Lytechinus pictus: one gene and its partner. The protein of the gene in region 1 binds, or shares a complex with, the protein of each later gene. Links are inferred from orthologs where the notes say so. Each region holds a gene or a part of one and is shown on either strand. Other genes may lie near its edges. The genes, in order: NBAS subunit of NRZ tethering complex-like and RAD50-interacting protein 1-like.

What was found.
Region 2: NBAS subunit of NRZ tethering complex-like (region 1) and RAD50-interacting protein 1-like share a complex: the UniProt entries of both Homo sapiens proteins name them as parts of the NRZ complex. The link is inferred for Lytechinus pictus from reciprocal best matches to the Homo sapiens genes NBAS and RINT1.

The regions. Positions count from the first base shown.
Region 1 is NC_087249.1:16,526,540-16,543,564, reverse strand, and holds the start of NBAS subunit of NRZ tethering complex-like, read left to right. Parts: upstream 1-8,931; 5' UTR 8,932-9,011; coding exon 9,012-9,119; intron 9,120-14,881; coding exon 14,882-14,945; intron 14,946-15,667; coding exon 15,668-15,710; intron 15,711-16,541; coding exon 16,542-16,622; intron 16,623-17,025. UniProt on the Homo sapiens protein: Involved in Golgi-to-endoplasmic reticulum (ER) retrograde transport; the function is proposed to depend on its association in the NRZ complex which is believed to play a role in SNARE assembly at the ER. Required for normal embryonic development.
Region 2 is NC_087254.1:36,486,313-36,503,673, reverse strand, and holds the start of RAD50-interacting protein 1-like, read left to right. Parts: upstream 1-10,648; 5' UTR 10,649-10,679; coding exon 10,680-10,847; intron 10,848-17,361. Other genes in the region: eukaryotic translation initiation factor 3 subunit D-like, read left to right, coding at 960-1,050, 2,133-2,152. UniProt on the Homo sapiens protein: Involved in regulation of membrane traffic between the Golgi and the endoplasmic reticulum (ER); the function is proposed to depend on its association in the NRZ complex which is believed to play a role in SNARE assembly at the ER.

The DNA of each region.
Region 1 (17,025 bases):
ACATATTTTGAAAGACTAAAGCAGAATAAAGGGGAATTAAATAAACAATTAATTTGCCACCTCATCTCATGAAGTGTTATGTATCTACTATCTAGATATCCATATCCATACATGAATCTGTATCACTTAGTGTACTAGTAATATAGTACTTTTTTAGTAGAGCCTACACATAACTGAAATCAACAATTGAACATAAAATAATATGAGATTCAATAAATGATCAAATTCCATTTTTGTTTGGTGCACTGGTTGTATAAAAATTATCCTGACCAAGGAAATAGAATTATTATTAGTGAAGATCAAAGGAACAATTACCCCCAGGCTCCCGAAAGTCATCACCATGTTCCCTGGGCCTGGGTCCACAATCTCATATCGACACCAGAGCACCTTCCTTGGGCTTGGCTTTAAGTTTTCGTCTTTTAATACTCAGACTCAGACTAGAGCTTAGTTTTATCTCATCAATTATCACTCTCAGACTCAGAGTCAGATATCACAGTCACACACAAAAATGATTATTATAGATTTATCTGTTGACCCCCCCCCCATACACAAATCATAGATCATGCTTATGTTTTATGCTACATCTATATGACTCTATCTCTCTCTCTCCCTTCACCAACCTTCTCTGTTCCATTTGGATTCTGCGATTGCCCGTCTCCGGCTTCACTGCCTCTGCCGGTGCCTTCGGCTTCGGCGGAGCCTTTCGGAGGCGTCACTCCGTAAATTCTCATGTTGAAATTGAACCAGGATTTGACTCTCTCGGGTAAAAGCGGGTTGACAAAGGGTTGAATAAACCGGTGAAATACCCACAAAACAAGTGGAATGACAATGCAGGGTATACACACCATGTTTATCGAGAAATGTCTAAAAATGAGAAGAAAACAACAGACGAGGAGTGTAGTGTAAATATTGCGTAATCGATCGAATTAGGCTTGGCCGGGGCTTTTAACTAAATTTTCTTATTTCAATTTTCATATCTATATAAGATAAGAATTACAAAATCAAATATGCTTAAAATAATTTTTTATGTTGTATTGAAATTTTGAAATTTGGTTTTTACATTGTTTACTATATAAAAAAGGAAACAAAACGTTCTGTTCATAAAAAGGGATGAGTTGATTTTCGAGGTCAGCAAATTTTATTGACTGAAAATGTAGATTGCTACCGAGCAGTCTGATCGGTCACTACTAGCCAATTTGATAATGCACAAAAATAACGATCACTTTTTACAAAAGCATATCTCTGATGTTCAGTGAAGTCCCGGGGTGAAGTATGTGTTTCCATACAAATAATAGGCCCTTAAAATTCAACTTGACTCATTAAATATGTTTCTTTCTATGGCAGTAAAGCCTGCTCAGGGGCTATAATCCAAGGGCGACCATGCAGGCTATATATAAATATGGATGTTGTCTAATTGTCTATTCTAAATGATTCCCACGGTCCCAACTATATCTTTTGTCCTCAAAATTTAACATTCTGACCTCTTTTATTTGATTTAAAGAGGAGGGGGGGGGGGGGGGGGTCAGCCTGAAGAAAAGTTTGTTGTAAGAATACCAGAAAAAAATATTGGTGTAGGTTCGAGTGAAATCCATTAAAGTTTAAAAAGGTTATTAAAATTTTTATATTTTGATTTGTCACGTCATACGAACAGCTCCCCATACCGCGTGGTAAAAAATAAATTAAAATTAATTTTCTCTTTAAAAAATCAAAATGTTTTTTATTGTGCCTTCAGTATATCAACAGAAAGATCCTTTCACACCCACTCCTGAATGGAAAAGGTTTAGTTCATCATGAACTATTAGAAAATTAATTTATTCATTTTATTTTTCACAACATTGAGGGAGCTGCTCGCATATGATGTCATAAATAAAAACTTTTAAGTTAAAAACAAATCTAATAATTTTCTCATCTTTAAAGGATTTTCCTCAAATCTTCACCGATATTTTTTAACACGGGCGGTAGAGTGAAGTTGAAACTGCACGAGGGCGGGGGGACAAGCTTCCTCTATATAGTTGAAAAGGAAAGATGACCCCATTCTAAATTACATTATATTCACCATTTATTACGTTTTTGCCTGAAGTAGCTGTTTGTTTCGTTAGTTCAGCATAACTTTTAAAGGACACTTCTGACTATTATTAGTATATAATTATGCAAGCCATATACGCTAGCTCGCTGTTTGGAAAAATGATTTAAATCCTAATTTGTGGAAATCGATTCGTGTTCTATTCTGATGGCGCTATACAACTCTGATTTTTTTTTAGTTTGTTAAAAAGTTATAGAAAAATGTTATCCTTGAAATTATTTTACTTGTTGAAGAGAAAGTCATCGTCGGAAAATTCCCTCACGAATTAAAGACCCTTTAATCGAAGACAAATAATTACATAGGGCCGTGTTTGGTTTTTATTGTTCCTATTATCATTTCACAATTAACTCTCCTAAAAGAAAAAAATAAGTTAGTCACCATGCATCATGGACCATTGAAAATCGAAATTCATGAATTTCATATTACATAACTGGGGCAGCTGCTCGTATGAAACTGAAAATTCTAACAAATTTTTTAATCATCGATGGATTTTCTTAAACCTTCACTAGTATTTTTCATTATATTTTGTATTTTGACAGCCGCTTTTTGTCAGGGTGAACTTAATTTGATCCCTTTAAGAGCCACTGTATTTTATTTTTGTTATCACTATTCTGTATGATTGCAGGGAACAGAAATAGTTGAAACTAGCTAGGGCAGCATCGGAAGCAGTGTAACATTAAGTTTATTTTATCTTACCCTGAAATTCCAATATATTATGAGCTTTTTTGGAGGAGAAGTGCGCAGACCATGAGAGAAAACATTCAGCTTCCTCAAGCCATCCCCACCCCCTTCTTGCCCCAGTCTATCCAAGGCTTTACTAGTGAAAATTCGATCCAAACAGTAATTTTATCCAGACATCTTAAACTCATGCCGTGACATAACTAAAATACTGAGAGTGTTGGATCCATCTCCGACGGTCAGCATGCATCCTCATCACAATAAACGAAGCACCAGTACTTTTCTGCTCTCAACCCCCCCCCCTTTTTTTTTTTTTGGGGGGGGGGGGTATTCATCATTTGTTTCATTTATTGAACATGTTAATTTAAAACGTGTGGAGCATACAGTTTATTCTCTTGGACAGATGAACAGGCATAGTAATACAAAGAGAAATGAAGTATAAAGTGAAGTAAGAAAAAAAGCATAAAAGGAGGACATTAATTCTGGCGTGAGTATAATAGTAGCGTACTAAGCCAAACGAATTTGAGGGGGCGCAGAATGGCCAGCGTGTGTTTAAGGGGAATTTCTAAGTCACAAGTAATAATATTTTTGCCTTTTTTAAATAGAAAAAATAATTGTGAAAAATAATTGTGATAGGTTTTAAAATTATAATAATCAATGGTAAAACGCACACATTTCTTTTCATCTTAATTGTCTTTTCTTTAAATCATTTTAAATTATTCGTCAGTACGGTCGTTTAGGAAACTTTTTTTTATCATGGCAGAGACTCCCTCAGAGGGTTAATTACCAATTCGTCTACTGCCATCTCGTCCACTCACCGCATGATCTACATTCGTTAAGTGTATAATGCCATTCCGTCCATCGACATTTCTTCTAAGAACCATTGGTCCAATAACCATTTGGTCCAATCATCACCTCGCGTCTATAACCATTTCGTCTATGACCATTTCGTCTCGTAACCAGTTGGTCTATCAATTTCACTTTCATTTATATGGACTAATTATGGCTAATGGACAAACTGGTTATCATACAAGATGGTGAGTGGACGAATTGGCAATCAGCCTGGTGAGGGGCGGCGGAGCGAAGTTGAATTTGGGGGGGGGGGCACAGGGGAAGAAGGGCACCTTTCTTTCGAAAAGGGCACTTAAAAACAAAGGAAAAAAATGTCTTATCTATATAATGGTGTAATGAGTCAAAAAAAAATTGTTGAGGGTTCTAGATATTTCGTAGCACGAAAAATTAATAAGTAGCTGCGAGCGAGCAAAAGTTTTGACATTTTTATAACGAATTTTGTGGTAGCTAGCCTTGACATAATATTCATAAAATAATATCATATTTTACCCCTTAAATTGTCGGTGAACGGAGCAGCACTGCAGCAGGTAGGAGGGCGCCAGCCCCTACGAGGATCTAGCTAGGAATTCCGGTGGGTGATACAAAACTGTTCTTTTTTAAAGTATGTACTCGGTTGTATTTTTTAAGATCTATTTTTTTTTTTTTAAATATTTGTTGTTTGTATAAAGGAACTGTTGCTGGGCTAGCGCCATGAGCGTCTCTGGACGCGGTGTGTGCGATCAACAAGATATTATTATTATTATTCTCTCTTTCCTTTTCTTACTCCGTCTTTTTTTTTTTTTTTTTTTTTTTTGGGGGGGGGGGGGCAAGAGCCCCCATCTGTACGCCACTGCTTATCTACCCCACTCACATGACTCATGAAACTTAAGGCACGTCTGATTATTCTTACAATATTTCCTTCATAAGTAGTAACATATAAAATGAGAATATTGTTTTCTTGTTAAGTGGCGCTCGTTAACAACAAAAGGCCTTCTCATGTAAAAGGGGCACAAAACACGTTCGTGAGGGGAACTTTTCTTGAGTAAAAAGGGGGCACTGATTCGAGAAAGGGCACGGGTTACAAGAAGACAAGGGGCACTAATTGCTCACACCTAAATAACGGGTCACCCTCAGGTAAAAGGGGCTTATAGTCGTGAGGGGCATTTTACTTGCATAAAAAGGGAAAATTTTCAGTGCTTCAAAAAGTGTGGGGGGCATTATGCCCCCGGCAGGCCCGCCCCTGGGATAGTGGATAATCTGATGAGACCAAAATAGTAGACGAGTTGGCAATTGGACGAATCATGGGCGGAAATTCCAGGGGGGACAGGGGGAACGCGTCCCCCTACCATGCCTACCATTTTGGAAGGGGGGGGGCATAATATCAAATGTCCCCCCTAATATTTGTGGTCTTTTATTATGGAAAAAATACATAATTCAAAATCGAAATTATACACATGTATCCTCGAATTTCGAAAACTATATAAACAGATAGTTTTTGTTAAGAACTGGGATAGGAAAAGAAAAGGCATACCGGCCCGTCTATTCTCGAACTCGCATCTAGCCCTATATGCCAGCCAAAGAATGATGACATTGATGACATCGATGGCCATTGTCAATTTCATAACTAATAAAAATGACGAAAAAAGAAAATTGCCTCTGGATAATTATAAGTAAATTTAGTGCATAGATGGTAAACGAGAATGTTCCATACCCAGTAAAAACATACCTTTGTTAAACCAATTCATTTTCCCTTTATTCCAAATATACTTGGAATATAAGAATATTTTCATTGTTCGCGTATACTCAGTAAAAAGAATAGTTTTCATGAGTTATGATTAATCCTTACTATGTTTAATCCCCCAAAATTTGTTTTTAAATACTCTATTAACGTGACTTTTATTTTCCGTTTTTCCACAAAATTCCTGCCGTGAGAGGGGTCACCATAGGTAGATGAAGGGGGCGAAGCGGCAGCCCGCCCCCTATTGCCGGCACAAAATAGGAAGGAGAGGATAAAAACAAGAAGAAAGATAGGACGAGGAAGAATCTTAAATGATGGAAGGGGAGGGGAATAATTGGAAAAAATAAAACTTTCAGGTCATAGTATAAAAATAAAAAAAATCGCTCGCGTTTTCCATGAATACACAGTCATCTCTTTATTTCAAAACGTGCTTTTTTTCACTCTTTAGATCTAAATATATAAAGTCAAATCATTTATTTAGGAAGATATCCATCTTTTTCATAATTTGTAGGTTTAAATCTTTAACAAAAAAATAGCTTGCGCTTTGCGCTCGCATTGCTTATTGAGATAAACTGCCTTTGTTCTTTCTTTCAAAAGTGCTTGAATGATCCAGTTTTCAGATCTGAATATAAAAAAAAATCATTTCGCGCTTCGCGCTCGCATCAGTAATATGGTTGAGTCAGATACTATCCTGTTTATTGCTATAAGGTGAAAAGAAGATGACTGTTTTGGTCGGGGAAAAAAATCAGGATATGCTTCGCGCTCACATTAATTAAAATTTTGTTAGATAGCTACCCTGTCCTTGATTTTAAAATATGCTAATAATACCAATTTTTAGGCTGGGAATGACATATCTTTAGCACACACTTCGCGCTCGAATCTAATATTGTTTAGTAAAATTCCTATCCTGTTCATGATTTGAAAAAATGTTACGATTGTCCGGTATTTAGGTTGGAAAATACAAACTTTCAGCTCGCGCTTCGCGCCTGCATTAATTGTTTAGATTCCTATCCTGTTCATAATTTTAAAAAATGTACTAAGAATGTCCAGTATTTAGGTTGGAAATCAAAAACTTTCAGTTCGCGCTTCGCGCTCGCATAAATTGATTAGATTTTTATCCTGTTCATATTTTTTTAAGGTGCTATGAATGTCCAGTTTTTAGGTTGGAAAATAAAAAACTTTCAGCTCGCGCTTCGCGCTCGCATAAATTGATTAGATTCCTATCCTGTTCATGATTTGAAAAAGGGTTACGAATGTCCAGTTTTTAAGTTGGAAAATCAAAAACCTTCAGGTCGCGTTTCGCGCTAGCATTATTTTATTAGATTCCTATCCTGTTTATGATTTTTATAAAGCTGTTAAGAATGTCCAGTTTTTAGGTTGGAAAATCAAATACTTTCACCTCTTGCTTCGCGCTCGCATTAATTGTTTATATTCCTATATACTGTTCATAATTTTTTAAGTACTAAGAATGTCTAGTATCAAGGTTCAAAAATCAAAAACTTTCAGCTCGCGCTCCGCGCTCGCATAAATTGATTAGATTCCTATCCTGTTCATGATTTGAAAAAGTGTTACGAATGTCCAGTTTTTAAGTTGGAAAATCAAAAACCTTCAGCGCGCTAGCATTATTTTATTAGATTCCTATCCTGTTCATGATTTTTATAAAGCTGTTAAGAATGTCCAGTTTTTAGGTTGGAAAATCAAATACTTTCACCTCTTGCTTCGCGCTTGCATTAATTGTTTAGATTCCTATCCTGTTCATGATTTTTTTTAAGTACTAAGAATGTTTAGTATCAAGGTTGAAAAATCAAAAACTTTCAGCTCGCGCTCGCATCTATTATTTAGTTGAATTCTTATTCTGTACATGATTTGAAAAAGTGTTACGAATTTCTAGTTTTTAGGTTGGAAAATCAAAAATTTTTAAGCGAAGCGCATTAATTGTTAAGGTAGGTTCGAATCTAGTTCATGATCATAAAAAAATGTTCAGAATGTTCAATTTCCAGATCACAATTTATGAAATATCAACATATTTGGGCTTGCATTATTTATTGAGGCCTTTCATCTTTAGTTAGGAATACCTGTCCCCTCGTCGAAATATATATATACATATATATATTAATGAGGCAAAGTGGTAATGCATACTTTGTTCCAACAGTTTATTTTGAATTCCAAATTTTCGACGTTAAACGTCTTCCTCAGGGATACAATAAAGCTCACAGAGACAAGAACTGAAATAATAACATTCATGCATGATTGTGGTAGTCATGGAACCGCGCACAAAACAGCATCATATACATATATATATATATATGTGTGTTTGAGAGGGTGTGTGTGTACTTGAGTTAGTATTTCTGTAGAGCATAAAAACGGAAAACTCAATTTAATTGTGTCCCCCCTACCTTCAAGGAGAGATTTCCGCCCATGGGACGAATTGGAACCCCGGCCACCGGAGAGCACGACACCTGGCATATGGCACCTCCCCTAGTCGTTTAAAGGCCACCGCACACCTTACGACTGTTCGCGATCCGATTTTGGAACAAATTGCATTTTGCTAATTTTCTTAAAATGTGAATGGAACATATCATTTTATTTGAGGTTAAAATTAATTGAATACCAATATAACCATTTTGTAAGATTGTAAGCCTCTATTTTGGAGTAAAGGCCAAATTAGTTTCAAATCGTAGCCAATCGTACGACTGCTATGACGTCATTACGACTAGATATTAAATTTGTTTTTATTCTAAGAAGGATGATAGCATAGTCACAGATTTAAATATAGATATCGTACGATGATTTCGAACATTACACAGTAAGATATTCCAAGTCTCAATATAAGGCATCAAATTCTACTACGTTTTATTCCAAAATTGAGTCGCAGACCAATCGCAAGGTGTGCGGTCGCCCTTAGACAAAGCAAATATTTTTCAAGGGGGAACCCATCCTTTTGGATCCTTACCGATCAAAGCTAGGAGGTAGATTTTTTTTTCTCCCTCTCATTGAGAATGCAACCTGATTTTCCTTTGTTTAATACAATATTTTTAAATTTCTGTTTCCCTTACTTTTATAGCGATAATAATAATTGTAATTTTTGTTATAGACATACATGTAGTATTTGTATTTGTAATGTCTTGTCTGGATCTGAATCTGGATGTATACGATGCAGGGCCCTCCTGGGCATAAACGCATCGGGTAGGATGGGGGATCGGGTGTCCGGACACTTTATATTTTTGAAGCCTTCTTTTTTGTCTTTGGATTACCCTAAAAATATGAATTCAATAGTTGCAATCATCTTCGATTTTGTTCTCTATAATATTTCCTACATTTTGTACTAAAAATTGATGAAACTTCGCCTGTAGATTTCTTCAATTATGACTTCCTATAATTGATCGTCCGGACACACAACCTGTCCGGACACACAACAACTGGGTATACTTAATTGACCTTGTATCCGTTTGTCCCCCCCCCCCCAAAAAAAAAAAAATGAATAAATAGATCGAAGACGATTAACACTACCCCCTCCCCCATCTGGAAAAAATATGATAGATCTGTAATTCACTACTAGTACGGCCACACAGAAAGGAACCTGAACTATTTTAATAGGTTGATATCTTCATTAGTGAAACAGACCCACATATTCGATTTCACGTATACCGGCCGTAAGCTATGATGACGTGACGTGTTGAAATGGCGTCTGCTGATGAGGTGACACAGAATCAAGGACAGGAGGAAGAGGAAACAATCTTATACGATCTTTTCTTTCCGTATGAATGGTCTCAAGAATCAGAACCATTGGTAAGTCTTCATCAGGAGTGTCAAAATAATTTTCACACGCAATTAGGTAGGCCTAGATCGCTATTAACGTTAGATCTGGATCTGGGATTCTCATTCTGCCTTTTTTTTCATGACATGAGTTTCAATTCTGGACTTTGTGACTTGTCTTTGTCGGGCCGGGGGGGGGGGGGCACTCAGTATGGGTGGAGCTATATAGGCCCTACCCCTTAATTATCGACCACCTAATTTCTACGCATCGTATCTGCGAAAATCAGTTTTTCCTTGCTTTTGTCTTAAACTCTTATTTGTGCAGAATTATGTTTCGGTCGGCGACTCCGATTTAGCTGATTCAACTCGCGCAGAACGTTGTCGTTAGAATTTATATCGGCGAACATCAAATACGACGATTTGCTCATTTGCACCTAACCCAGGGAGCTAATATTACACGGACGAGTCCTGGGCTCCAACCAGCTTCACGGGCCGGAGCTCCCTGCCCTGGGTTAAATTTGCACTCTTTTGAAACTGACCACCCACGATACACTATAACTATATAAGTTTACGGCCGACTCTTGTCGCGGTGGTGAAATATTTTGACTCTTCCAAATCAGTTCTGTGATGTCAACACGCTAAGTCAATGACCGTCTCACTACTTCCACTGCGCAGGGTGACCAGATGTCTCGTATTTCCCGGGGTCGTCCCCTATTTTGCTCCTTCATTTGTCACGGCGTCCCGACAAACCCTTCTCGGGACGCCTATTTGTCCCGTATTTCAGAATATTGAAAAAACATAGTTAATACATTTGAAGGAAAAGTCTACCCCAACAAAATAATGATTTGAATAAAAAGAGAAAAATCCAACAAGCAAAACACTGAAAAATTCATCAAAATTGAATGTAAAATAAAAAAGTTATGACATTTTAAAGTTTCGCTTAAAGGGATGGTCAGGGCTGAAAATAAATATATCGTAATAGATAGAGTAGAATTCACTGAGCAAAATGCCAAAAATTTAATCAAAATTGGATTACAAATAATAAAGTTATTGAAGTTTAAAGTTTAGCAATATTTTGTGAAAACAGTTGTCATGAATATTCATTAGGTGGGCTGATGATGTCACATCTCCACATTCCGTTTTCTTATGTTATTAGGGCCTACATGAAATCGTATTTTATTTCATTATTTCATACTTGTGTGAATAATATGTCTCCCTTATAATGAAATAAGTTGCAGCAATAAATATCTAATGCACTAAATCAGTCGTCAATCCAATTTTTCTAGTTCTTAGAGGAAAAAAATTGAATAAACCTAATTTCTTATAATAAAATACAAAAGAACAAGTGGGGATGTGACATCATCAACCCACCTAATGAATATTCATGACGACTGTTTTCACAAAATATTGCTAAACTTTAAACTTCTTTCGGCATTTTGCTCATTGAATTCTACTCTATTTATTAAGCTATAAATACTTTCAGCCCAGACCATCCCTTTAATTTCACAAAACAGTTATATGCACATCCTGGTCGATATGCAAATGAGGAGACTGATGACGTCATCCACTCACTATTTCTTTTGTATTTTATTATGAAATCTGAAATATTCTCATTTTCTCTTCATTGTCAAGTGAAACAGTGATTAATTCCTCCTTTAACATGTGGAATTAGCATTGTTTAATACTATATGGTTCAGTCAAGTCGGTCCCTCTGGTCGAATCTGTAAAAAATGAAATAATTTATAATTCAAACAATAAACAAAAGAAATAATGAGTGATGGACATCATCGACTGATTCATTTGCATGTCAATGAGTTGTGCATATCACTGTTTTGTGAAAAATAAGTGAAATTCAAAATGCCATAACTTTCTTATTTTACATCCGATTTTGATGAAATTTTCAGTGTTATGCTAGTTTGATTTTTCTTTATTTATTCAAATCAACATTTTGCTGGGGTGGACTTTACCTTTAAATGTGACGAATTTTCATCAAATAACCAACAGATGACGAAGCAGACAACAATAAAATCGATAACTAAACTTTTGCAAGTTCTGTGGTGATTTTCTTGCTAGCCCTATACATTGCAAGCGAACTGGCCTCCTGCCTATGTGTGGCAGGCTACTAGTACTAGCTAGGCATGTAGGATTGGAGCAGATTCTCAATGGGGCAAACAATGACATGATAAACAGTTTTTCCACCAAAATAATCACAAAATCGGCGGAAAATTTGTATAATTCTATTATGGATTCTCATATTACTGATTTGGAGATGTAGTCGGAGGAATAAGTTATTGAGTTTTTATTACTTGTTGTGTATGATGCCATGATGTTTCATCTAATTTTAAGTTGACAAGGTTTCACTTTGACATTTTATTCATTTCTAAAACATTTTAGTGTTTTTCAATTTTAAAAATATATTTAAAAAACACCAAATATGATTTTTGTTAGATGATTGGATTGTTTTTCTTTGCTTGAAGTTTGAACTTTTTTCCTCTTTCTTTCTTTCTGTCCTTTTTTCATCCTTCCTGCTTGCCCTTTTTTGTTCCATCTGTCATTATTTCCTATCTTTCTTTCCTGATCCTTTCTCTCTCTCTCTCTCTGTTCATTTGTCTTTCTTTTCCTTCTTTCTCTTACCTGCCTTCTTTATTAAATTTCCTTTTATTATTTCCTTCATTCTTTCTTTCCTCAAACTTTTCTTTGCTTCCTTCTCACTTCCTCTTCTTTTTCTTTTCGTTCTTTTTCTCCTTCCATTATTTTCTTTTTTTTCATTCTCTCCTCTCTTTATTCTTTCCTCCCTCTCTTTCCTCCTTTTTTCATTCTTTATTTTATTTTTCCTTCTAATTCTTTTCCCTTATTTTTTCCCTCCCTCCCTTCCTGTTTTTCTTCTTTCTTTGTTTGTTTCTTTCAAAGAATGATGGAAACATTTTTCTTTCCTCTTCCTTTTTGTCTTACTTTCCTTTTTTTTCTTTCTCTCCTTTATTTTGTCTTTCACACATTTATTCATCTTCCCTTCCTTTCTTTTTCTGTCTTTCTATATTCAATTCAAAGAATGACAGAAACCTTTTTCTATATTTTATTCTTTCTTTCATCCTTCTTTTATTCCAACTTTCTTTTATTATTTTTTATTTTTTTCCTTCGTTTTCCCCTTCATTTTTTTCTTTTTTCTTCTCAATTCATCTCTTTTCTTTCGCTTCTTTTTTCTTTTGTTCACCCTCCCTTCCAAAGTTCCAATTCTTTATAGTTTTTTTCACAAGTCTAAAACTGTGTAGCCTTCTTTGTTGATCTTTTTTGTCAATTGTCCCGTATTTCATTTTGTGAAATCTGGTTACACTGCCACTGCGAGCTCTGGCACATGATTCGACGATTGACAACGGATATTTGTTCTAAAGCCGTTTCCTATCGGATTTCTTGGTATGAACAACTGTTCTTCGGCAGGGTTCAGGTCTAGTCAAAACAATTTTGATAAATTCTACTAAATTTTTACCTTTTTCCCCTTCGATTCTTACTGTTCCTATGGACACTGCGCCTACTCTCCCGTGCGTAACGTTTGTAATACGCAATAATGTGAATGCGCAAGGTGGTGGGTTTCAAAAGAGGTGGTCGATATGTGGTGGTCTCACTATATAATGCAAGGTTGGTATGTGCCGCGGAGGGGACCCCCACTTTTACTCTCAAATTTCCATTCCAATGCATAGCATTTTTATCTTATTGAGAAAAAAACAAAGAAAGCCGGTCCAAAGCAGCCATAGCATTTTCTTCTTATCAAGAAAAAAAAAAGAATTCTGTTCCGATCAGGGGACGCGGAAGCGGGGGGGGGGGGGCTTTTTCCAAAACCGTGTACAAAAACGTATAAATTACCATATGATTGTGATTTTTGGCATGGTCAGCACCGCCAATTTTGGCTCAGCCCCCTCACTTTGGAAACCGTTTTGTGGCCCCTGCCGATCATGGCAAAGCCAAAGCTTCGCATATTTTTCATAGCGCCGTTCCGGCCGCATAGATCCGCTACAATGAGCTTCAATTTTGGTGAAAAGCGGCCACAGAGTGCTGTCCGACCATCGCCTCTGCGCGAGCGCACCTGGGGAGTGTTTCATCAACATTTTCATCCGACAAGTTGTCAGATCTGACATCTTTCTCTGATGTTGATTGGCTGAGAGGCACTGTTACTATGGTAACTGTCGGATAAAATGGGACCTGTCGGATAAAACGTCCGACAAGTCCTTTCATGAAATGCTCCCCAGGTGTCCGTCCTGCTGGGCTAGCTGCACGTATGCCCGTTCCATAGGGATGCATACGCACTCACATGCAGGCGACCCATTTCGGGACCCCCATTTTCACAAACATTTGTAGTTCTAAAGCCCGTTCCGAGGATCCTCCTTTTTACAATAAGCCCGCTCCAAAGCCCCCGTTTTTTGTCTCGCCTGCGGCACATAGGCTACCTACCACTTTTTTGTTCGAGTACCCCCCTGGGTGTCACTGTCGACTGTCATAGACACAGTGTCGTGTCATTGAGTAAGAGAAGTCGGCCCCGGCCGTTGCCAAAGTTTGCGAAATTGCATGATTAGCGCCGGTCCGACCATACATGTGAACAATTGCCATGTCATTCAACGATAAAGGCTTAAAGTGGCTAAGTTGGACCTTCTAACGTTAATTCTACTTGAGCTAGGTGGGCTCGATCAATGATTTTGATAAAAATTAGAAATTCTAACTAACAAGTTAGACTATCTATGACTATATTCAGTAACTTTCGTTAAGTCATTAGACTTTAACGTTAGAGGTGCTGGTCAGAAAATTGGGATCGTCCAAGTTAACAGGGACTGTGTTTTCAAAGATTCCTCCACACAAGAAATCTCGGAAAGTTCATTCACCTGTCAAGTAACAACACCAATCAAGTGCGGTATGCTAGTCATTGTAAACAAATTGAACAGGTTTAATTTACAAGATTATTGGAAGAAGGCAGAAGTGGGGGGAATTGAGGTCACTGAATCTATTTTTAGTACTCTCAATCCCCGAAATTGCTGTCTTTGTCCTGCAGGGGTAAGTGAACAAAAAAAACTGTCCCCATAAACAAGGACAGTCTCAATTTATCAAGACATGATTTGTCTTGGTTTATGAGGATATCCTTGTTTCCTGGGACAATCCCAATAATATTGGCAATATTTGGACCAGCACCTCTACTGATAATATCTAACGTTACATGATCTAGATCTAACATGCATGCCTGAGGCCCGAAACAGCAAAGCTTAATGTTAGCTATGATCGTAGTAGAACGTTTTTCTACAATTGATTGCTTTGGCTACAATGTACAATCAATCGTGAAACTCGATTGTACGATTAATTGCTAACCTTTGTTTTACAGAGCCCTGATTTGCATGATAACAATATCAATTATCTTGATATTGAATAGGAGTCCTAGACTAGATCTAGATCTAGACTAGATCTACAGATGCAAATACAAAAACAATAATTTTGGATTGTCAGAAAATATATTGCCTGGGAGTGGGAGCTGCTCAAGTGCCTATGATGTCAAAAATTAAATTGTGAAAATCTGAATATTTGTTATTTGATGGATTTTTGACAAAATATTCACTCATCAATCATAAGCATATAATATCTCTTTCTTGTCTATTTTTGTCTGCTTTTTAAAAATCAACTCATGATTATGAACTAGCTGTCAGGGCCTTCCTCATTATTCCTTGACCTACAACTTGTGGTGGGGGTGAATGATGTTCGGTAGTTAGCACATAGAACATCCATCAAAAGTAAATCTTGTGTTTTATTTCTCCTTCTCATAGACAAGTGTTATTGCAGAGAAACCCAGGGGCTCTCTCGTTGGAAAGGTATCTTCTGCAACCGCAAGTGAGTAACTTGACAAGTGTAGGATTCTATTTTGAACACTAATGTATTGAATGTTTCTATTTCCTTTGATGTTACCTTTTCTGTGATCTCACCACTTCCGACTCCTTTATTCATCTCATGCTTTACATTCTTATCTCATGCTTCATATTCCCTCTTCATTGCCATCCTTTCATCTCCTGGGGGGTGTTTCATCAACATATTCATCCGACAAGTTGTCAGATCTGACATCTTTCTCTGATGTTGATTGGCTGAGAGGTACTGTTATATGGTAATTGTCGGATAAAATGGGACTTGTCGGATAAAACGTCCGACAAGTCCTTTCATGGAACGCCCCCCGGCTTTGCATTCCTTATACAATACCTTTGCAATGTTTTTTTCTTCATGTTCATTCCATGGTTCAGTTAATTTTCTCTGAATGGTTTGCCTTTACTGGAAGTAAAGTTTATTCTTAGAAACTCATTTATGTTCATTGGAAAATCATTTATATTCATGTACTTCTTTTTGTATACAAATTATCTTATTTGAATATTTATTATTCATTATTGCTAATATTTTTTTTGTATAATTGGCTTTCACATTCCTTAATTGTTGCTATGTCAGACAGACCTTAAATAAACTTTAGATATTTCCTCGCGCATTTTTCTTTTTGAAAAAATGCTAATATTAGTAAATTATCTATATTTTCAATGTATCTTTTTACTTATTATTTTATTTTCTTTCAGGATCTTTGTGGACTTTTGTGAGAAGCACAGGAATCCCTCTTGGGTAAGTGCAGCTCAGATTGTTTTCTTGCAGTCTTTGATTTCTAAAAGGCCACGTCCACCCAACAAATAGTTGAATTAAATAATAAAGGAAAATCAAACAAACATCTCACGTAAGATAAGTAGGTTATGACATTTTAATGTGAAGTTGCTTATTTTCACATAACTAGTAAGGAAGTGAAAGAACTGATGATGTCATACACTCACTATTTCTTTTGTGTTTGAAAAAAAAAATGAGCAGTTGTATGATGTTATTTTCAGATTTGACAGTAAGGGAGCTTGTCATATGATCACATTAGGCTAAAACTATGAAAATTGCCTCATGTTCGTGGAGGAATAAAATGTTAGTTGCCAAGGAAAATTTTCTAAATATTTCATGTATTGAATAGTGAGTTGATGATGTAACTGGATCCCTCATTTGCTTACTGAGAAATACTGACCAGGATGTGGATGGCGTATATAAATGTTAGAAATCAAGTGAAAATTTGAAATGTCATAACTGTATTATTTCAAACCCGATTGTGATATTTTGATGAAATGTTCAAAATTTTGCTTTAAATTTTTTTGTTGTTGTTCAAATTAACTTTTTTTGTGTGTGTGTGTTGGGATAAAAATAAATCTTTCCTTCTTTTAGGGCAGAATGATCCCTAATTGTTAAATCAGAAGTTTGGAGGTCTGCTAATATAATATGCATTAATATAACATTATAGGGGATGCTAAAACATAATAATGGTGAGAGTAGTTTTGTAGTTGCAAGGCACGTTTGGCAACAAGCTGGGGAGGCCTGAACATGGCTAATTATGATGATGAATTACTATTTTGTTCACCTTCACAGGTCATCTTCAACATGCTCTCTACCGGCAACTCTTATCAGACTTGTGAACTCTCAGATCAGCTGGCATATAGCTACAGCAAGGTAAGTAGCACTTAACTTACTATCCTCCTGTGCTGTGTGGTGAATTGGGCAGCAAGCTGTTACCATCTGGGTCGGTCATTTGCAATCACTTCAACCTCTGACAGATTGGTACTCGGGTTATGGTGCTCCAAGTCCTTGAGGAAAGTCCGTCGCCAGGTGTGCTTCGGACTGCCTCTTTTCCTTCTTCCATTTGGTTGCCAAGTCATTGCTGATTTAGGAGCATACACTGATGACACTTAGAACATGCTCTGCAAATCTTATCCACTCTTCTATATCCTGGCTATTTAGAGGCATGGTACCTGTCTGTTCATATACTTGCATTGGAGATGTGATCCATGCAAGTGACCCATCTATTAAGACAGCTCTGTTGGAAAGCATTCAGCGTCTTTTTTTCGCACGAGCA
Region 2 (17,361 bases), on another chromosome or scaffold:
AAATATCTTGAGTGACTGTAACACAATTTGAGGAAATGTCTTTAAGTAAGGCAGTTTCCACAGCACAGTATTAATATCACAAATATAGAGGTACTTGATATTCCTTTTTATACAGGTTTTGTTATGAGGCTTGTACCAAATTAAAGATTGCAAATGGGAATATTTTTACCTCATTTGGTTTTATCGATACGACTTTGGGGTGTTGCTTGTCACAAATGCGACTTTGTTTTCCTGAAGCAAGAAATTTACGAACATTGTGCTGCACTCAAACCCATGTGAGGTGAATGGGTATCTAGTAGGAATTTATTCTTTGAAATACATTGCACGTAACAGTAGCTCTGCTTAAGCTAGGGTAATTATAGTATAGAGCGCTTAAGAGACTTCTGATAATGTAAGTGTTAAGCGCTGTATAAGCAAGTATAATTATTATTTGATTTCAAATGTAGATTTGCAATTTTAGAGATCCATTTTCCCTATAGCACATTAATTCACATTTTCTGTATCGGGAATCAGACAAAAAATAACAAACTTTATATTGATTATAAGGTTTGATTGATGTTTAAAATCCTAAAGTTGATGTACAAGTAGGAGCATGTATCTTGCAACTTCCTCTCAGCCCTGGAACTGTGAGATATATTGAATATGATATTGTTCAATCAACAAGGAGCATTTATACAAAATATTATTAGATATCATTGTTATTCATGGTTTATTTAGATTTGAAAAGAAAAATCCATGGAGAGAAACAACCATATTGATAATAAGTAAAGATTGTGAACAAATTCTGCATGGAAACTAAAATCTTGAGTATTATTAATGCTAAAATTGATTTTGGCATTAAATTTACTAGATGTCAAATAAATCAAAAGTTTAGTTTCTTTAGATATCAGAATTTGATAGAATATGATTCACCATGTTAAAGCTTCTTTTTATTCTTTCATTTTGATTGATTCTTACAGCCGGTGATTCGTATCTATGACATCCCTGATAACACGTTCAGCTCTGACGACGATGAAGAGGATGATGAGGAGGACGAAGACGACGGTGATGGTAAGTAAACTATTGAATCGTTGACTACTGACTATAGATGTATTCAAGTCAGCCACCATGTTTTCTTTTGTGGTTTAGTATATTCTCAACCCCAAGCCTTTATATTCAACTGCAATTTAAAGGGGAAGTTTACCCTGACAAGAAGTTTACTGTAAAAATAGCATAATAATTATTTTTAGAAATATGGGTGAAGGCATGAGGAAAATCCACCAAAGATTTAAAAAGATAATAGAATTTTAAGTTTTTAATTTGTGATGTCATATGCGATCCATGTATTGATAATGTTTTTTATTGTACATTCATGATATTAACAGACATATTATTTCACACCCAATCCTGAAAGAAGAAAAATTTAAGTCATCACGAACCAATAAAAATTGAAATTTATGCATTTTATATTATATAACATATGGGGCAGCTACTCGTATATAATGCTACAAATCAAAAACTTAAAGTTCTAATAACTTTCTTAAAGGTATTGTTTAACTTTGTGAGCAGCCTATTTAAAAATTCTCAAACCAAGATGAAACATGTGTACAAGTGCATGTATTAGAACTAATAAACCCTGAAAACAACCATGAAGCACTAAATAATTATTTTCGAACGCAATTTTTTCTGGGCTTCATTTTTGTAACATATCACAGACACAGGTGACAAGTGTGACCTTCTAGCTCAGATTTTTAAAAAGTCAAACCAATGTTAACCAATCACTTTGATCTTTAGTAGATTTTCCTCAAACCTACACAAATATTTTTAATTTTAACAAGAAACATTTTTGTCAGAGTGAACTTCCCTTTTAACTGTGGTTATATCTGTGTATTGATTATGGATAGCCAAATTGTTGTAACACAAATCTATTCAAATGAACAGAACATATTCAAACTTGTTTAGTTTTCTTCATTTTTTTAAAGCATGGCAAATAGTCTAATAAGGATAAGAAATATGAAGTGTATGATATTTAGCTTTAACATCCTTTTTGGCTTTACATAATTGTAGGTAGTATTGATTATATACTGAGTTGAGATAAAGTATACCTTCTCACCATGTCAAACTCTTGTATATGTTTTGTTTTCTCTCTACAGATGAAGGAGATGATGAGTAGAGCCATTGATGATGTCCCACAGATCAATATCTTACATCATCACCTGTCTACTATCTGGAATGACCCCTATTTTTTTCTGATTTTTGGTGCAACTTCTATCAGCTATTAGTAGATAAGATGAAACCTGAATTAATATTTATTATCTGAGATTGAGGTAGTAGCAGTTATTGCATTGAGACTTACTCATGCTATTTAAACTACAGATTAGCAAAATAAAATGGGAAATGGTCATTGGTTTTATCACATCCTATTCAATGGACACCCCCCCTTCCCCCTCCCTCTCTTCACCCTCATTCTCCTTTCAAAATGTATTGAAGATCATTTGCCTTGCAATTATGGTATACATACTTGCAATGATATAAATTTATATTATTATATTACAAATGACCTGATCCACAAAATACGTTTTTAATATCATTCCAATTCATATTTTGCAATGGTATGTAATTTGATTTTGACCATTGCTACTAAATTGTCATATATATATATATATCTTTCTACATCTGCAGATAAGACAAATTTTGTTGTCTTCTTTCAATGTTCGCAATGCGCCTTAACGCCCTCTACCTTCGACTTAACATCTAAATGTGTATTATAACGGAATAAACCCATTCATAGACTTCGCCCTTACGTAGGATGTATGCATAATATATATATATATTTCATCTTAAGATGAAATCTCCAGGTGGCCAAGGATTGAATCAATACAAATTGTTATGGGATTTTATTTATTTAGTTGCAATCAATCATTAAATAATTTACTTTTTTTTTTGGGGGGGGGGGAATCTACTAATTTCATGTATATGGATAGAATGTTGATTGTCAAATAGTTACCTATATTGAGCTTACATAGCCATTACCCAAAATAAGTACACATTTATGATGGTATTGTCAATAAACTTGAATCCCCCCCCCCTCCTTTCAATGCTTAAAGATATTGAATATAAATTTTTCAGTATACATACAGAAGACAGCTGTGACACTTTTCATGGCTAAAAACTGGTTTCAGTGTCTGGTGGCTTTTTGTTATTATTATCTTCTATTGTTCCATGATTATACAATTTGATCATGTTGAATTTGAGATGAACATGTATTTATTATGCATTATATACTTAGTAATGCAGAAGATGTAGTTGATGGTTCCAATTTTTTAGATAACCATTGGATCATTCTGTTCTACTGCCCAGCCCAACCTCTCTCTGTAGGGATACCTGTCTATAATGGTCACTCGTTATGTATCTGCCTGAAAGACCGATTTTTTTTTGTTTTTTTTTCTCCATTTTTCCTCAGTTTTCTTTTATGTGCATGTACTGGATTTGGATGTGGGGGAGGGGGGGTGTAGAACAGGTATGGAGGAGAGGGATGGGGTTCCGCTCAATTGTGGCATGATTACATTGAATTACAGAATATTTGGAATCTTAAATTGACATTAAATCTTGTCGTACTTCTCAACACAATCTTTTTTTGTTTTGTTTTTCTAATTTTGAATATTTTCTTGCTGGTGGTGATGGTGACAACTCGGTGACACAACAGTTGCTCCTTCGACAACTGCTCTGGGCTTTATAATGTTTAAGATATAGGTTTAGGGTTAGGTTTGCAGTAGGGTTTTATGTTATAGTGTTACATCCAGGGTTGAAGTTAGTCATTTGATTAGTGTGTAGAATTTATAGCCAAGCAATTGTCGCCAGAGCAAATGTCATGGAACCCAGAGATACACATGGTGATTATGATGAATACAGTACATGGGTGATGTTGATAATTGTGAAGATAGGAATGAGCAAACAAAGTGACGAGAGTCAATGAATTGATTAGTTGATGTTATATTAACCCTATCTAGGCCCCCCTCAACGAGTCGCGCAATATTTTCGCCGCGCACATTTTTTTTACTGCGCTGCTCAATTACTTTTTACTTTCAAGTCTTGCGCAACTTTTGAGACCAATTTTGCGTCACCCGGGTACGCGTTTCCGAAATTACGCAACGTTATATAAGTACGGTACATGTAAGACCAAAAATTGCTCAAAAACATGATTTTGTGTACAAAGTCAATGTACATTGTGTTTTCAACCAGAAATCATAAATGTATCATTATTTTTAGTTTTGCTGGTCTAAATGTATGTATTTTATGCTGTTTATGATCTTAGAAGAGTCCCCAACAAATTTCATTGAAAAAACAATGAAAAACAAAGGGTCCAAAAAACAAAGAAATACATAAGAAATTGCAAAAAACAATATAGAAATTGATCTGATAACAGTTTTTTTCTTCTAAACTTGCTAAGAACACCACAAAGAGTTTCTATGCCAAAAATTAGAACATTTGGAGCTTTATTTATGGAGTTACAGGAAAAAATATGATTTTGCATCCTAATTATGCATAAATTAGCATAATTACTTAATAACAATTCGCATGAAACAAATTACTATACAATTTTGTAGATTATATCCCAGACAACCTGCGTGCCAATTTTCGGCGCGGTCGACGGCAGAGATCTCAACCCCCCCCCCCCCCCCCCCCGGCCATATGAACTCCCAAAATACCCCGGCCTAGATAGAGGGAGATGTTCGGATGAGATGGTGATGAAAAGGATGTTGAAGGTTGATGATGGTGGTGATTATGATGATGGTGATGAAAATGAAGGTGGTGGTGACGATAGAAAGAATAAGATTATTGTGATTAAAGTGATGAAGAACTTAAGAAGATGATGATGATGCAGATAAAGATGATGATGATGCTGCTGATAATAATGAACAAGAAAGAAAGAAGGATGACATAAATAGTACGTTGAAATTCATTATAGTCGGCAATTAGACTTTTCTGTACTAACCAGCTGTAATATAGAGTTATGCGAGTCAGAAAGCGGTACAATGATTGAAACTAGTGACCAAAATTCATATGTTCATCTCCAGAAGTTATTACATAACGTGATAATTCAAGTCATCAAAAAGTGAATATGTAAATAAGACGGTTTGAGGATTCGGTTTATTTTCATTTGATCCAATGCCAATTCATCCAATTGCTAACTCGTCTACTATGAGGAGTCCAGTAAGAATGAGTCACAATAGATAAACTGAACTTGTTCACAATGTAAACGGAAATTACGTGAGAAAAACAAATTTTTAATGCAGATGTATGTGCGTGTTATAGTATTAATATCACCTCACAATCCAAATTGTTAGCTTGAAAGTACGTATTACAATTTTTGATCATCATATGAGATCTTATTTCAAGTTAAAATGCCCTGCATGTACATGTATATGTCATGCGATTTATTCATTTTTTTTTAGATAGGCCTAAGTAGAAGTGATAAAAAGAGGAAATATCAGCATAAGAATGGCAACAAGTGGGGGTAAGGGGTAGACTTCATCCAATTTAGCTTGGCAAAATATTCAGTTCTGACAGAGCGAGTACCACTCAGACGAATGTGCCCCCCAACTTGTCAATTTTCCGCTGGATAGACATGGCAGGGGCGGATCCAGCTCTCACTGATAGGGGGGGGGGCGGCAGTTTTGTTTTCATGCATATTTTTATCAGTCACTTCTTGCTTTATTCTTATTTTTTTTAAATGAAATAATCTCATAAGCCCTATTAGATTTTTTTTTTAATCTCAAGTTTTGTCCTGAAAATTTAACATTCTGTGGAACTTGAATGTTTGTGATCCTGGGCAAGATGCGTATAGATTTAAGTGCGAGCGCCAAAGCGCGAGCGGAAATTCTTTCAACAATTAAAATAATGCCAGCGCGAGTTGAAAATTTCAACATTCCGACCTAAAAAAGGCCATTCCAACCTAAAAAAAGGCCATTCCAAGCACTTTGTAATCATGAAAGGTATAGGTCATGCATAACTAAACAATTAATGCGAGTGGAAGAAAATTGAGATTTTAGACCTAAAAACAGGACACTACGTTTTGTAAATCATAATTCCTCCATTAATAATGCGAGCATGAAGCGTGAGCAGAAAATCGCACATCGATCGATCAGAAATTTATCTTGACTCTTTAGACTTTTTTATTAGAGTAAAGCCCCCCCCCCCCCCCCCCAAAAAAAAGCCTTACTTTAATCTACAGGTACAAGTAATCAGGGGCGTAGCGGATCTGATCAGCTTCGAGCGCATGCGCTAGATACCGGTACACGTACCGTACGCTGCCCAATCGTCGCTCAGTTTACGTATTTTCCTTTATGTTTCATTCAATGAGCTACGATATGCTTACTTCCATATGTCATCTGAAAGCGAAAATACTGGAAAATCGTTTCATAGGATAATAATTATATGTCTTAGAAGCCCCGCTGCGTAATTCGCCGTTTTTGGCACCCCTTGCGCCTGCCCAATCGCCGCTCACCATTGCCCTAACTCCGCTCGCTTAGCGCGCGCATTCATACATGGTGTTAAGGCCTGATACTGTCTAACTCTTTTTTCTACCCTTTTCTCTTGCACTTCTGAGTGAGAAAGTGTGTAATTTTGTTCTGATTAAATGTATTGTATACAAGTTTTATAGTACTATACACTGTATAAAATGTTTCTTTCGCCAAGTGCAATTATTTTTAGGGCCTCAAAGTAACTTTTTGTTACTGATCTACGCCTTTATATCGGTTTTTTTTATCCTCCAAACTTTATTCCGTATTTTTTATAAAATACATATTTTCAAAAAACCTTTCCCGACAAACTTTTAACTGATTTCAATTGTCTAATAATATGAATATGATTCTAATCCATTCGTGAATTTTATGAGTATATTATTATTTATTTATTCATTTCGGAAATGAAAAGTATATGAAATTGGAACAATTAATGTAATACAACATTAACAGAGTATATAGATTGAGCACCCACTGGGTCAAATAAATTACTGTTGTCAATAAAGACCATGACCCTAACCAGTGCTATAATAAGGGTGCTTACAAAAAATCGGAAGCGGATAAAAGAGTCAGCATGAACAAAAATGTTTAAAGAACAATATATATAATAGAATAACATGCTTGATATAGTTAAGTTAACTTAATTAACTTAAAATATGAATATTGATGAATTTACATTCTTATAAATAAAACGCTATAAAACTCTTTTAGCACATTCGCCATTCAAAGTAATCATTTTCGCCACTCATCCAACTTGAGTGCCCCCCCCCCCCTTGTCGTCCCTTCCGCTCATCGCCCCCAGATGCCATTGGCCATTGATTTCCATTATTATTTTTTTTTTTTTGAAATAATTATTTGCATCCTCCTTCAGGTTCTAAATCAAATTTGTTGCTTTTACACTATCTTGACTCATTATTTATCAAGTATATATGTATTCGTGTATCCCACTTTTTTGTTTACTCTTTACTTTTTCTTGTCGTATTGATATTTTATGGGACTCTCACTGCATAATTCTTTGGAGCCTTCAACCAACAAGCTTTGCTTTTACTTTTAGCTCCCTCATATCCACATCTCTCATTTTCTTTCTTTGTCATAATTTTAGAACCAATTACAAGAATACATTCTAGTACTTTTTTCTATTGTTATATTATGTACACATTTCATATTTTTACGATGTTTATTTATGCTTATCTATGAAAACTTGTAGGCCTATTGTATAATATTATTGTTTGTATTGAATTGTTGATTTTTTGAAAATGTGAAATGTTGATGTGCATAAACCTTGAACCCTGAACTCCGATAATATTTTTGGGGGGATTCCCTTATATTGACTTTCATTAAAAAAAAGCTCATCTTGAAAAACAACAATAAATATTTAATCACCTCGCTGGTTTAAGTTCATATTCGAACTTCCGTCAATAATAGGAGAGGGAAAAAGGCACTCAAAAAAATTATATTTGTTCAAAATAAATTGGTCAATTTAAATCCTGTTCCGTTTTCAAACAAAACACAATTAAAAAAAGGAAATCTCCAGAAACATGACAAAGTTTCATCTATTCAAATCAATCAGGAAACTACTGACCGAGTTCAAAAGGCCTATATATAGGCCCATTAGTGGGAGATTTTTTCTTATTTATTCATTTAAATTCTTTATTTTATTTAGATTTATAGATATGAATCAGATAGGCATGCAGATAATGCATATGGGCCTACCATAAAATATATGTATCATTAGGCTCATAAGTTATCACATATAGGCCTAATTACACATCTATTTCCATCATTCCAATTAAATTATCCCTAAATGTCATACTCTGAGTAAATAATATTGGTAATCATCAAAATATGAATACGCCACATAAAAAAAACAGTATTACGATCGATAATAGCCTAGAAGACATGCCAGCCTGCCAGGGGCCGCGGAACCGGGGGAGGGGCTTCACCCCAGAACAAAAAAAAAAACTATCCCTATATCTCTAAGTTGTTTGTACGTCGGTATTTAGTGATAAACATCGAAGTCTCATTTTTTAGCATTGATGACCCTACGATTCGTTATAGAGCAAGATAATTTTTGTAAAACTTTTTCCCAAACACTTTGGGCCGGGACAATGATTACAATTAAATCTCGAAATATTTCTGGTGAACAGTGACAAACTCTTTTGATCATCTTTCAACATTTCTGTAAACGTCAGCTTATCTGCCTGCTCCATGATAAATCGTTGACGACCGAGGGGCTTTTATTTGCCGTCACCCTCAGCTAAAGGGAGAGAGAGGGGGAGATAGAGAAGAAATCATAGGAGAAGTGAGAGAGGAAAATGTAAAAGAGTATAAAGAAGAAAAAATGGCCGCGTCGCAAAAAAGACAACGGAAGAGGTATCAATCAAGGCCGGAATAGGAAAATAATGAAATGAAAAAAAAAAGATTAAGAGGAAGGAAAATAAAAGGAAGAAGACAAGACGAAAATGAGAGTTGGGGGACCGACAAATACCTGTCCCCTTCATTTAGAACAAAATAACTATTCAGCCTGCGCTTCGCACCCGCATTGCCCGTTTGTTTCATTATTCATGTCTTGTTTTCAAGTCATTCTCGGTTTGTAACATAAAACATCATTACAAAAGTGCTTAAAATGTCTCGGTTTTTTCTCTGAATCAGGGGCGGAAATCTCTCCCAAAAAGTAGGGGGGGGGGGGGCAAGGGGCTGGAAAATTTGACAAGCAAAAAATTATGAATTATGACCTGAAATAAATTCAGACATTCCTACATTGTTTACACTTAATTTTCATCTCATATTAAATTCACGAGTTGAATTAGTAGAGTAATCAGGCGTTACCATGGCAACATACCATTATCATGCATTCAAATGAACTTATATCCATGCAGAACACTCTGTTGTTTTCGATATTTAAGTCAAACCTACATAGATTTTGGCATTTTCATTGTCATTTTCCACCATTCATCTTTTCCCACCATAATGTTGATTTATGATGGCAATTCAATAAATGCCCCCAACGTCATTGGCCAAAGTTCCGTCATTGACCTTAAATTACCTTTGACCGTGGCATGACCTGAAACTCACTATAGGATTTTCACTGACTCCCTTATTTCGAAGTTTCATGATAGCTATAAAAACCTGTAGGCCTATTTCAAACTTATGATTACATTTCACAAACTTATCCTGTTTTAAGATTTCAATGTTTACGACGCCGCCCGCGCGGCGCCGTCGGAAAAAGCGGCGCTCTGCATGTCTCTGCAGGCAATCAAGACAATTGTATTTTTCTGCGGGAAAGATAAGCCGTTACCATGGCAATGTATCTTTTGCAAATACTTTGATGACTTGATAGGCCTATATCTAGAAATTGAATTTGGAAGGCTTAAGAATGATAGATTGGACCATTTAAATTGACAGGGTAATGTGCCATATATATAGGATCAACTTTTTTTTTAAACATATTAATCAGTTGCCATGGCAACGGCGGAAGGAGGCATTTATGAAACTGGCAACAAGCGGATTCATGTTCAGCACCATCAAAATAGAGGAAATGACACAAAAAATCAGATTTTAAAGAAAAGTCTACTTGAAAAATTATGACAATTCCGTTTAGGCCCTATACTCTTACAATGATTATCATACACAATCAGGGTGAGCGGAGTTAGGGCAGGCTGCTATCTCAAGGTATGCCCTCGCTAATTCATTCACACAACAAATATTCATTCTAGAAAAAATTGTCATGACGACATATCAGGACCTCCCGCACCTACGAATCTCACATTTTCATTCATCATATAAGAATATAACATTTTTCACTGTTTTTAGGAGTTTTTAAAGTGATTGAAAAAAAACGTAATTTGGTGCAGTTGCGGTACAGTTGATCGAAGTTCAAACAGTTATCGGGTTACTTTACATTTAAAGCAGTATTTCACGATGATTTATTAAGGGATTGATTTTATTTTTCCACACTTTGTTTTTTCATGTAATGGTCTCCTCTTGGGTGCTTAATTATGCGAGTATACTAAACTATAAGGAATTTGGGACGAATTTAAAATGATAATCATAATAAGCAGCGTGCGCATCGCGCTTGTGAGGGTGAGCGAGAATTGGGCAGCGTACGGTACGTACGTACGTACGTACACGTAAAAAAAAAAAAAAAAAAAAGGATGAAGAAAAAACTTTGCGACGATGGCTGAGAAGGGACCACATCAAGAATCGGGCTCATCATTGCCTGGATATTCGGATGAAATACGTCGAATGATTGATATGCAGATAGGAAATGATATCAAAAAGCTCTCTGTTACCGAAGATATGCTTAAGGATGCACTTGAGGAAAAGGCAAGGATAGAACAAGAGGTAAATTGTTCAGATCTGTTTATACCTTAGACTGTAGTCCCACACCCTCGCATTGACGTAGGATAGCCTAGTCAGGAGCCGGAGCACTCGTCAAGTCAATCTAACCCAGGGGCATGGCCAGGCTAGCCAGGCGGCTTCTAGAGAGTAAAAATCATTTACTAACGTAAGGTTACTCTCATACGAAGCCAGGCATTCCTCCCCATTCATCTGCGTGTACTGCAAAAAACCCTGAAACTTTCGCCCCCAAGATTTCTACTTTCCTTCTAAAAGATCTAGGGCCTAGCTCTAAATCATGTAAATGGGATAAAACTTCATTTCCGACATTTCTACGCTCTCGTTGTTATTTAGAAAACAAGAATTCATCAAAAAAATGAAAAAATATGGCATAATTGTACTTGATGCCCCCAGGGGACATCAACGTTTTTACCTTTTGGTACTCCTTGATTTCCCGATGATTCTTCGTTACCAAAATGTAAACATTTCTTTTCTCACTATAAAAAAAAATAGAAAGTAGTTCTGGTTTGCGCTAGCGCACCCCATATGAGATGCGAGTACAAATGCGCAAACAGGTGCATCTAGATGAGCGCGCATCCTTGCCTCCTCATCTATCCTCTTATATTACTTGCACTTGATGCCCCCAAAATTGATGAAAGCAGTGATCCGGCGAGTAATCCTAGAAGTGTTGACAAAATTAACCTTGATAGCTAGAGAATAAACTCTCTATTATTACTTGTACTTGATGCCCCCAAGTTTTCCAGTTATTCAGCACGTTTATTCAGAAGTTTACATTCCACTAACCCCATTTCCCCTCTTTTTCTATTTTCTAGCCGCGCAAGCCTTCATAACATCGTCGAAACGAATTAACCTTGTTGGCTAAATTAACCTTGATAGCTAGAGAATAATCTCTCTATTATTACTTGTACTTGATGCCCCCAAAAATTTCAACAAAATTAACCTTGTAGCCAAAATTAACCTTGTTGGCAAAATTAACCTTGAGAGCTAATGTAACCTTGAGAGCTATAGCTTGTCTCTCTTATATTACTTGCACTTGATGCCCCCAAAATTTCAACAAAATTAACCTTGTAGCCAAAATTAACCTTGTTGGCAAAATTAACCTTGATAGCTAATGTAACCTTGAGAGCTAAAGCTCGTCTCTCTTATATTACTTGTACTTGATGCCCCCAAAAATTTCAACAAAATTAACCTTGTAGCCAAAATTAACCTTGTTGGCAAAATTAACCTTGATAGCTAATGTAACCTTGAGAGCTATAGCTCGTCTCTCTTATATTACTTGCACTTGATGCCCCCAAAAATTTCAACAAAATTAACCTTGTAGCCAAAATTAACCTCGTTGGCAAAATTAACCTTGATAGCTAATGTAACCTTGAGAGCTATAGCTCGTCTCTCTTATATTACTTGTACTTGATGCCCCCAAAAATTTCAACAAAATTAACCTTGTAGCCAAAATTAACCTTGTTGGCAAAATTAACCTTGATAGCTAATGTAACCTTGAGAGCTAAAGCTCGTCTCTCTTATATTACTTGTACTTGATGCCCCCAAAAATCTCAACAAAATTAACCTTGTAGCCAAAATTAACCTTGTTGGCAAAATTAACCTTGATAGCTAATGTAACCTTGAGAGCTAAAGCTCGTCTCTCTTATATTACTTGTACTTGATGCCCCCAATTACTTTATTTGTTGCGCGATCAACCGAACCACGCGCGGATGGATATCAACTCGCCGATGATAAACAGGGTCAGGTCGAGGATCCACGAATCAAGGTAAAAAAGTTGATGTCCCCTGGGGGCATCAAGTATCCTTGCCTCCTCATGAACGTTTTTACCTTTTGGTACTCCTTGATTTCCCGATGATTCTTCGTTACAAAAATGTAAACATTTCTTTTCTCACTATAAAAAAAAATAGAAAGTAGTTCTGGTTTGCGCTAGCGCACCCCATATGAGATGCGAGTACAAATGCGCAAACAGGTGCATCTAGATGAGCGCGCATCCTTGCCTCCTCATCTATCCTCTTATATTACTTGCACTTGATGCCCCCAAAATTGATGAAAGCAGTGATCCGGCGAGTAATCCTAGAAGTGTTGACAAAATTAACCTTGATAGCTAGAGAATAAACTCTCTATTATTACTTGTACTTGATGCCCCCAAGTTTTCCAGTTATTCAGCACGTTTATTCAGAAGTTTACATTCCACTAACCCCATTTCCCCTCTTTTTCTATTTTCTAGCCGCGCAAGCCTTCATAACATCGTCGAAACGAATTAACCTTGTTGGCTAAATTAACCTTGATAGCTAGAGAATAATCTCTCTATTATTACTTGTACTTGATGCCCCCAAAAATTTCAACAAAATTAACCTTGTAGCCAAAATTAACCTTGTTGGCAAAATTAACCTTGAGAGCTAATGTAACCTTGAGAGCTATAGCTCGTCTCTCTTATATTACTTGCACTTGATGCCCCCAAAATTTCAACAAAATTAACCTTGTAGCCAAAATTAACCTTGTTGGCAAAATTAACCTTGATAGCTAATGTAACCTTGAGAGCTAAAGCTCGTCTCTCTTATATTACTTGTACTTGATGCCCCCAAAAATTTCAACAAAATTAACCTTGTAGCCAAAATTAACCTTGTTGGCAAAATTAACCTTGATAGCTAATGTAACCTTGAGAGCTATAGCTCGTCTCTCTTATATTACTTGCACTTGATGCCCCCAAAAATTTCAACAAAATTAACCTTGTAGCCAAAATTAACCTCGTTGGCAAAATTAACCTTGATAGCTAATGTAACCTTGAGAGCTATAGCTCGTCTCTCTTATATTACTTGTACTTGATGCCCCCAAAAATTTCAACAAAATTAACCTTGTAGCCAAAATTAACCTTGTTGGCAAAATTAACCTTGATAGCTAATGTAACCTTGAGAGCTAAAGCTCGTCTCTCTTATATTACTTGTACTTGATGCCCCCAAAAATCTCAACAAAATTAACCTTGTAGCCAAAATTAACCTTGTTGGCAAAATTAACCTTGATAGCTAATGTAACCTTGAGAGCTAAAGCTCGTCTCTCTTATATTACTTGTACTTGATGCCCCCAATTACTTTATTTGTTGCGCGATCAACCGAACCACGCGCGGATGGATATCAACTCGCCGATGATAAACAGGGTCGGGTCGAGGATCCACGAATCAAGGTAAAAAAGTTGATGTCCCCTGGGGGCATCAAGTATCCTTGCCTCCTCATGAACGTTTTTACCTTTTGGTACTCCTTGATTTCCCGATGATTCTTCGTTACCAAAATGTAAACATTTCTTTTCTCACTATAAAAAAAAATAGAAAGTAGTTCTGGTTTGCGCTAGCGCACCCCATATGAGATGCGAGTACAAATGCGCAAACAGGTGCATCTAGATGAGCGCGCATCCTTGCCTCCTCATCTATCCTCTTATATTACTTGCACTTGATGCCCCCAAAATTGATGAAAGCAGTGATCCGGCGAGTAATCCTAGAAGTGTTGACAAAATTAACCTTGATAGCTAGAGAATAAACTCTCTATTATTACTTGTACTTGATGCCCCCAAGTTTTCCAGTTATTCAGCACGTTTATTCAGAAGTTTACATTCCACTAACCCCATTTCCCCTCTTTTTCTATTTTCTAGCCGCGCAAGGCTTCATAACATCGTCGAAACGAATTAACCTTGTTGGCTAAATTAACCTTGATAGCTAGAGAATAATCTCTCTATTATTACTTGTACTTGATGCCCCCAAAAATTTCAACAAAATTAACCTTGTAGCCAAAATTAACCTTGTTGGCAAAATTAACCTTGAGAGCTAATGTAACCTTGAGAGCTATAGCTCGTCTCTCTTATATTACTTGCACTTGATGCCCCCAAAATTTCAACAAAATTAACCTTGTAGCCAAAATTAACCTTGTTGGCAAAATTAACCTTGATAGCTAATGTAACCTTGAGAGCTAAAGCTCGTCTCTCTTATATTACTTGTACTTGATGCCCCCAAAAATTTCAACAAAATTAACCTTGTAGCCAAAATTAACCTTGTTGGCAAAATTAACCTTGATAGCTAATGTAACCTTGAGAGCTATAGCTCGTCTCTCTTATATTACTTGCACTTGATGCCCCCAAAAATTTCAACAAAATTAACCTTGTAGCCAAAATTAACCTTGTTGGCAAAATTAACCTTGATAGCTAATGTAACCTTGAGAGCTAAAGCTCGTCTCTCTTATATTACTTGTACTTGATGCCCCCAAAAATCTCAACAAAATTAACCTTGTAGCCAAAATTAACCTTGTTGGCAAATTAACCTTGATAGCTAATGTAACCTTGAGAGCTAAAGCTCGTCTCTCTTATATTACTTGTACTTGATGCCCCCAATTACTTTATTTGTTGCGCGATCAACCGAACCACGCGCGGATGGATATCAACTCGCCGATGATAAACAGGGTCGGGTCGAGGATCCACGAATCAAGGTAAAAAAGTTGATGTCCCCTGGGGGCATCAAGTACAATTATGCCAAAAATATTATGGAAAGACGGAAGACGAAGAGACTTGCCCGATGTTTACGCCGCCATCTTGTTTCCCCCAACGTTACGGACGCGAGCGTTGCGTAACGTTGGGGAAGTACAATAAGAAACAAGATGGCGGCGTAAACATCGGGCAAGTCTCTTCCATCTTTTCACAATATTTTTTCATTTTTTTAATGAATTCTTGTTTTCAAAATAACGAGAGCGTAGAAATGTCGGAAATGAAGTTTTATCCCATTTACATGATTTAGAGCTAGATCTTTTAGAAGGAAAGTAGAAATCTCGGGGGCGAAAGTTTCAGGGTTTTTTGCAGTACACGCAGATGAATGGGGAGGAATGCCTGGCTTCGTATGAGAGTAACCTTACGTTAGTAAATGATTTTTACTCTCTAGAAGCCGCCTGGCTAGGCCAGGCTAGGGAGCTCCGGCCTGCGTACCTCAAGGCTCAAGTGATGTTCGTGCAGGCTTTACTCCACTTCACTACGCTCCATTTACCCGAACATCAAGACAGTGAATAGGGACAGTGATTTTCCGTTTAAAAAAATTGCCTTTTCCATTTCAGAAAATCTCAAATTCCGTTTCAGCATGTCAGAAAACGGAAATTCCATTTCCCCATAGACTTTGTACACACGGAAAAGTGACAATTCCGTTTACACATTGAACAGCAAAATCACAACATGTACACTCGCACTGGTCAAAATTTGTATCTGCTACTGTACCAACAACACAATGGAATCCGTTCTAATCAGATCTATGCGGGTACATAAAATATTTTTACAAACCCATTCAGCATGCATACATCCTCACCTTTCACATTATTTTTTATTTCACGGTGAAATGATATTTCATCGATAATTTTGGGGGTTTTTGGACATCGTTATTATCAGTCCACGGCTTTTGCCAATCCGCCATCTTGGATTTAAAGACCACGATATCGTACTGTTACATCTTCAAACGTAGAGGGCAGCAACACACGACCGTGTAGTTGAACGATATGTGTGCATGTGAAGCCCAACCCAGCTGGCCGGCCGGGTAAGGGTACGGGGTACAATCGAGTGTGCTGATGTCGAGTGCAGTCACGATGTGTGAATTGTCATGATAGTAGCGAAGTGAGATCGTGTTTTCTGGGGTTTTGTGGCCATTTAATATTCTCATTTTATAGTGATTTTGGAGTAATTTCTGTTGCTATTCTGTGTATTTTGAGGGAAAATACGTTTTCCGTGATTTTCCGTTTGAAATGCCACTTTCCGTTTCAAAATGGCCCTTTCCGTGAATTCCGTTCGTTTTCCGCGATCGCGGAAAATCACTGTCCCTAAGTGAACTCGTTCGGATACTCCGAGTGGCAAAGGTGGGAAAAAATGCACATTTAATATTTATTGTAACAAAAAGAAGGAAAAAAAAGACATCAACAATGAATAAATAAAACCCGGGGGGGGGGGGGCCAGTCAAATATATTGCTGTACACACATGTGACCAAAAAAACGTGTTTAAAGGGATGTTTTTTTCAGTTTTGGATGCGGTCCGCGTGTGGACTCGTTAAGGGTATCAAAACACAGATTTTCAAGAAAAAGGGTGGTTTTGAAAGACTGGTCAATGGTAAATCGCGGGGTCAAATCGTGGAATATTTTTCCAAACTCTTTGAATATTTCTGGTATTCCATTAATTCTGAGCCATCCAATATAATATAAATATTCATGCTGTTTGACCTGCGACCCTCGCATGCGATGTTTTTAAATTGGCCGTGAATAATACGTGTGAGGAATTAGATACTGGCCAAAAATCACAAATTTTGAGGATGACAGGAGGATGGACACTGAGTGAAATAAGGGTGAAGAGTAAGAAATTAAGCTTTTATTTATGTTGATGTCTTTTTTTATATATTTTTTTACAATAATTAATAAATGTGCATTTTTTCCCACCTTTGCCACTCGGAGTATCCGAACGAGTTCACTGCCTTGATGTTCGGGTAGGTGGAGC